Xenopus tropicalis: one gene and its partner. The protein of the gene in region 2 purifies or fractionates together with the protein of the main gene of each other region. This does not show direct contact. Links are inferred from orthologs where the notes say so. Each region holds a gene or a part of one and is shown on either strand. Other genes may lie near its edges.

Region 1 (3,572 bases), on a different chromosome or scaffold from region 2:
GTTTTTTGCATACAGTCTTTTGTGCTATTAGGTTCATGAAATAAAAAAAGAGGTACGGCAGCATACAAGCCAATGTGGAAAAGTCAATGTATATTTATTTCAGTGCTATCACATCTTAACCCCAGTGCAGAAGCAGAACAGACTAAAGGGACTAAATAGAAACAGATATTGAATAGATCACTGCAGTTTCCAGCAAAGGTGAATACGCTCTCTCACCGTTTGGCTGATCTGGAGGTTTCTCAGTAAGTTCATAGCAGCAGGAATCAGTGGAAAACTGAAATTGTGTTACAAATTTGAATTAACATGATGAAAAGAAAGGGAGAAAATATAAAAAGCCATTGTTTTGAGGAAGGTTTACAATTAGCAACCCATAATTTCAAGGTAGTACTAGTTTCCCTTTGTATGGTAAAAGAACACAGAGTAACAGACAATTAACAGCTTGTGGTAAGCCAATCATAATGCTTCAGTAAAAGGCAATATTATGCCCCAATCCCACTGACATTTAACAAGCCACAATGTGTTATTGAATAGAAGTTGTGTTCTTTCCTGAATCAGCCATCCCTGGAATGATCTATTCATGCACAATTCACGGGGGCTGCTTCTATGTATATAATCCTTATGATGTTCACATAAAAAGAAAAAAAAAAGATAAATAGTATTAGCAGGACCTCTTATGGGCCAGTAGCTCTGTTGGGGATCCAGCTAATTCCACCTATTTCTATCTGGAGCTCTTCTGATAATGCCATTGGCCACTTCTGGTCTCTCATGAAGTCTCCATCTAGTCAGCAGCTTCACTCTTGGCCTCTTCATATACAGGTTCTGAGTCAGGAGCCTCAGGCTCCGTACCATCTCCTCCCTTTGCATTCGGAACCCAAAGTCCTGAGTCAATGCACTGCTTCATAAAAAATCTTGCTTCCTGCAATGCAAGTGAATAAATATGTTGATTAAAAACAAAAATAAAATACTATGAATAACTATGATAACTGTAAAGTAGACAAGTGATGTCATCAGTTAAGATGGCTATACACGCTAAGATCTGCTTGCCTGGCGAGGTCCCCAAGCGAGCGGATCTTCTCCCGACAGCCCCACCTATGGGTGGAAGATATTGGGCTTATTCAGTCGTTTGGCCCTGGAGCCAAACGATCGGATTAGAACAGCAGGTATGGGCGCCCGTTGGTTTGGGGACCGCATCAACTAACCCAATGTCAGGCCAGATGTCTGTCAGGCAGGTGCGTCGTTAGTGCCCATACACAGGCCGATAAGCTGCCGAAACAGTCTAAGGGACAGATGTTGGCAGCTAGAATCGGCCCGTGTATGGGTGCTTAGTGACATGTGTCAGATGACTCACTAGAACTTATGTAAAAGATAAAACATAAGACTTCCATAAGACTATAGTCTTTTGGTTTGTTTATGGAACAGCTCAGTGACTTCCAATATCCTTATAATTTACAGAAGGGGGTACATTATCCCTTATAATACATGAGTGATACCCAGAGTTCCCTGTATAACTCAGCCTGCAGCCTTGTGCCTTTATATGGGCACAGAACCCCTCAGTGACTGCTAATATCCTTATCATTTACAGTAGGGGGTACATTATCCCTTATAATACATGAGTGATACTCAGAGTTCCCTGTATAACTCAGCCTGCAGCCTTGTGCCTTTATATGGGCACAGAACCCCTCAGTGACTGCTAATATCCTTATCATTTACAGTAGGGGGTACATTATCCCTTATAATACATGAGTGATTCTCAGAGTTCACATGTCAGTCAAGCACTGTGTCTCTGTTTATGTAAAAGATGCAACAGTAATATCTATTTGCTAACACCATTATTACTATAGTACAGCATAGCATGCTAAGAATTTTTTTTATACACAGCCAAGGTAATCAATATGGCACCTCCCCCAACTGCAAGATAATAACCCCATATACATACAGAGATGGTTTGCCATGACCTTGACCTAACTGAACACCTATGGGAGGCACTGAAACGCCACATCTAGGCCTGAGCCCCATCAGTGCTTACCTTCTTCCGTATGAATGTGAACAAATCCCACCAAAATGCATTCCCAAAAGAGTGCAAGTTACAGGCTCTTTTATGGGCAAAATGAGGACCAACTTCATATTAAAGGGAAACTACACCCACATAATGAATGCTTAACCAACAGACAGTTTATATTATGTTAAGTGACCTATTAAAGAATCTCCCCAAACTGGCAATAATATAATATTGGCCTTTTACATCCTTTACCTTGATCCACCATTTTGTGAAGGGCTGTTTGCTCCCTCAGAGATCACCTGACAGGAAGTAATGCAGCTCTAACTGTAACAGGAAGTAGTGTGGGAGCAAAAGGCAGAACTCTGCCCATTCATTGGCTGATGGGGCCTAGCATGTATGTGTGCCTTGGCTTGTTTGTGTGTACTGTGAATCCTATGATTCCAGGGGGCGGCCCTTAATTCTTAAAATGTAAATTTACTATTTAGGATTACCCAATGGCACATATTACTAAAATAGTATATTTGTATGAAAATGGTTTATTTAGATAACACAGGGTTTTACATATGAGCTTATTTATGTAATATATTTAGGGTATAGTTTTCCTTTAATGTCTTTGCTCTTAAAATGAAATGTTGGACAGGTAGGTGTCCACATTTGGCCTCATACCGTATGTAGCTGTGGGGCCCATAGACTGATCAGCAGGATAACCTGAAAAATCATCCTCTATGTGGCCACCTTAGAACTTACAGTGAATCTCTGCTCATTGCATCACCGGTGGGGAGCTCAATGGGAAATCTGACTGAAATGAAAAGCTGTGGTCCTGCAATTGTGTCCCAATTAACTTACAGTTGGGTCCATTTTGCTGATGGTGTCCTGTAACATCTGAATATCTTTAGAATCAAAACATTTCTGAAGCTCCTGTAAAAGAAACAGAATAAAATGACTGGTTTGCGTTGGCTAAAAAAACTTAAAGGGATTCTATTGTGATTTTAAGGTGTAGTTTTTATTACTAAATGACATTGTTTACGTAGCAAATAATGTATATGTTTAGTTGTAACATTGGTGTGTAGGCGCCATCTCAGTGCATTGTGCCTGAGTCTGAGCTTTCAGAAGGAGCCAGCGCTACACATTAGAACTGCTTTCTTGCCCTAGCTACATTGGGACTTTCTATCATTTTTCCTGCTTGGGTGCTATTCTTAGGTCTACCACTAGAGGGCATGTTTAGCAATGGAAAATTTCTGAATTTGTTTTGTTCTATACAACACTGAAATCTTCTCCTGTCTTCAGGGTAAGAGGGCATGAGGTGGCAGAAATCATTCCTTCTCACTGCATTAAAATGTATGTAGATTCCCTAATTCTGCCACAGACAATACTGAGAATTGCCTCTGCTCAAACAGACGTAGAGATAGTTATCAGTAAATGATCAGCACTGTCTTTTTTTAGTAGCTACAACAAGTAGCTGCTACTAGTAGCTCCATGTGTGTTCACCCTGAGGATGGGATAGGTGGTTATGTGAGACCATAGGGATGTGATAGGTGGTTTTGTGGGACTGGGACTGATAAATGGTTATGTG
Region 2 (3,572 bases):
CTTACCATACTTATAGCTGGGTCCTCAGTGTTTCTTTTCATTATCTTTTGTCCCTCCAATACAACCGAAAGACCAAAGTCTGAGATTACACACAAGGAATCAGCAGTTACCAGGATGTTTTCACTGCTGAGATCTCGATGGGCAATTGGTGGTTTGTACACATCTGTATAAGTGAAATTTTAGAAACTAGATTTCATGCTCAAACAATTTAATTGATATAGTTGTTATTAGTGATGAGTAAATCTGTCCAGTTTCATTTCACTGGAAAATTTGTGGACTGGTGAATAATTTGTGAAATGTGAAAAATGACGCACATGCACATGCTTCAAAAAAAATTGTTGCATGCATCGGGACTATTTTTTTGATGCATGTAATTTTTATCTACGCAAGCAACTTTTTTTGTTGCGAGGCAAATTTTCCGTTTCATGGAAAAACCCACCAGTGGCGAAACACATACAGTCACAACAAATCCATGGCTGGTGAAAAATGTCTCTCATCACTAGTTGTGATTCTATCATCATTTCTTTATATAGTGCCAGAAAATGATGCAGCACTTTACATTAAATTCTAAGAAACAGGTATCTTGAAATAATTTAACAAACAAAGGGTTTACAGATTAACAATAGAGGACCTACTTGCATAAATTTACAAAAGGGATTAAGAGTACATTTGCAACAAAAGGAAACTGATGATTTATAATACATAAATGTCTGATCAATCTAGATACATTGAAACCTTCCCTAAACAGATGGGTCTTAGGGCTCTGGTTTCCTCTCAAGGCAACTTCCGCGATTTCAGGGAAATCGCGGCGCCGCGTATGCCATCCCACCGCCGATTTACATTTTCGCCGGTGGGATGGCATTTCGGGGAGATTAGTTGCCCGCGAACGGGGAGATTTGTCACGGGCGACTAATCTCCCCGTGTGCCTGAGCCCTTAGGGAGCGTTTGAAAGTTTTTAAGGAACCCAAATCGGCAGCTGAAATCAGCCTGTGCATAGCCACCTTAATTCCTAGGCAGCGTGCCTGTGTGGTTAATTGAAAGGTGATGTTATTGACTGTGAGTGATACCTGAGGGACAGGGGAAGATATTGGAGGAAATATGTTTTCAAAAGATTCAGTTTCAAATGGTGCTGTCACATCAAGGAGGATGAGAACTTGAAAAGGACAGAAAGAGAGAGGTCAAAAGTAGACTGTAGAGCTGGGTGTCATCTGCATAAGGGTGGTACTGAAGTCCAAATGGCTGAATAAGTTTCCCTAGAGAAGATGCCTTGGGGAACTCCAACAGAGAGAGGGAATGAGGTGGAGGAGAGTTAGAGAATGCAACTTTAAAGGAACAGTAACACCAAAAAATCAAAGTGTATAAAAGGAACTACAGTATAATGTATTGTTGCCCTGCACTGGTGCAACTGGTGTATTTGCTTTAGAAACATTACTATAGTTTAGTAAATGAAGCTGCTGTGTAGCCATGGGGGCAGCCATTTAAAATAGAAAAGGCACAGGTTACATAACAGATAACAGATAAGTTCTGTACAATACAATGGTTTTTTTTATCTGTTATCTCCTATGTGCCTGTGCCTTTTCTCCTTTTTCCAGCTTGAATGGCTGCCCCCATGGCTACACAGCACCTTTTTATATAAACTATAGAAGTGTTTCTAAAGCAAATGTGCAAATTTTACCAGTGCAGGGCAACAGTGCATTGTATTATGATTACTTAAAAACATTTTGATTTTTTGGTGTTACTGTTCCTTTAAGGGACCGGGCAGAAAGAGAAGATTTAAACCAAAAGAGCAGTGTCACTAATGCTAACTGTGTACAGAATGTCTAGAATGAGTACTATCTGTGCTTAAGAATATCTAAAATTATCACTGCTTGGTAAACAGGACTCATACATTATAAATGTGTCTGATACAGTATATAGGTCATATTGTGTTCAAGCAAGGGTCTGTATGTGTGTTTGTGTGTGAATTTAGCAATTATCTCTGAAAACAGTGCCACAGCAACTATAAATTATTCAGCTACACAGTATGCTCAGCTGGTATCTGCATATGCCCCAATGCAAAACAAACCAGCAGTGACATGTAAAGGCAATGCCACAGTATTATCAAATAGTATTGTGTCAAAATAGGCACGGTCGCGTCAAATTGAATGTTTTACCTGTATGGCAAAAAAAATGTCAAACTTGCTGATAATAACAGCAGCATGTGTGCTCTGCATTATGGAGCCTGTTTTAAGGTTATTTGATTTTATTAAAAAATGAGATGAAATCAAAATTAAATCACAAAGAGAAAAGATTTTATGAATTATCCAAACCTTCTTTCCATATGTCTGCATGTAGGAATGCCAGTCCTTTGGCAAGGGATGTTGCCATTTGGCATGCTGTGGTCCAGTTAGTGGTACAATGTATCAAGTAACTCCTGAGAGAGCCCTGCAAAAAAGAAATATATATATATATATATATATATATATATATATATATATATATATATATATATATATATATATATATATATATATATATATATAAACTAGTCCATAGGGTGCACACCATTTGCAGCAACAAAACCTGGATGCTAGTACAAAAAAATGCATTGGAACAAGAGTGCTGTCCTTGTTCCAGTATATATGTATATATGGCTGCATATTACATTTAAATACACTCTTTTGATTTGCACAGAAATCTCAGTGTTGCTGGTCTTTTTTATATGATATATATATATATGACAAGTGATGGTGGGTGGGGTGGATTTGAGTGATGAGAACTGTAAAAATGCAGACATCTGGTGATCCTCCAGGACCCTGAAATAGGGGTAGGCAGAAAGAAGAAGTATGTGTCTAACACCCTGCCACCTCTATGCCACTTCGCTCTTCTGTTTACTACTAATTCCAGCCCTGCTATCTTGCATGCCTGAATGAGCACAGAGACCTACATTAATTCATTTAGCTTGAAAGACAGGGTGCAAATTGGAAACAAAATGGCGGTCTGCCATTTGCCCTGATTTTTGGACTTTGTACCCTGCCTTTCAGGTTTGATATGACACCTTACAACTACCACCCCTATCTTTGGTCCTCAACATGCTATATTTGTAAAGAAGACAGACAGCATGGTTCATTTTTGGAGTTAAGGACTTCTTTTTGGTCAAATATTTGGCCGTGGTCCCCCCTTAGTTTATGACAAGGTTACATTTGGGAAACCACTGCCTTCGAGTTCATTAGTCATAAAAGGTCAACTTTTTTAGGCCACAAATTTGATACTTACTCTAGGATAATGCTGCAGTACCAGAAGATAATGTTCTTTTAGGAAGCTAGAAGAACCTGCCTTAATGAGACATACTATGTTCTTGTGATGAAGAGAAGTCAAGAGACTGAGGATCCTGTATTCTTGTTTGTACTGCTCTCGTAGGGCTGGCGGGAAGCACTTTATGACCACGTTTCTCCCATGAAAATTTCCAAGACTTAATTGTACTGACAAACTATCCTCTTTGAGCGCCTAAAGAGATGGACAACACAAGGGACTCTGCTCAGTAACAGAACAACTAAAATGTACAATGAACTACCTTGTTATGTTATCATTCT

Evidence for each region.
Region 1: the proteins of amhr2 (region 2) and cdc37 purify together in Homo sapiens (co-immunoprecipitation; 3 studies listed by BioGRID and IntAct, with this or other methods). This does not show direct contact. The link is inferred for Xenopus tropicalis from reciprocal best matches to the Homo sapiens genes AMHR2 and CDC37.

Annotation. Positions count from the first base shown.
Region 1 is NC_030679.2:137,659,873-137,663,444, forward strand, and holds the end of cdc37 (hsp90 co-chaperone Cdc37), read right to left. Parts: intron 2,918-3,572; coding exon 2,846-2,917; intron 917-2,845; coding exon 779-916; 3' UTR 75-778; downstream 1-74. UniProt on the Homo sapiens protein: Co-chaperone that binds to numerous kinases and promotes their interaction with the Hsp90 complex, resulting in stabilization and promotion of their activity. Inhibits HSP90AA1 ATPase activity.
Region 2 is NC_030678.2:146,938,569-146,942,140, forward strand, and holds part of amhr2 (anti-Muellerian hormone type-2 receptor), read right to left. Parts: intron 3,487-3,572; coding exon 3,256-3,486; intron 2,425-3,255; coding exon 2,310-2,424; intron 164-2,309; coding exon 6-163; intron 1-5. UniProt on the Homo sapiens protein: On ligand binding, forms a receptor complex consisting of two type II and two type I transmembrane serine/threonine kinases.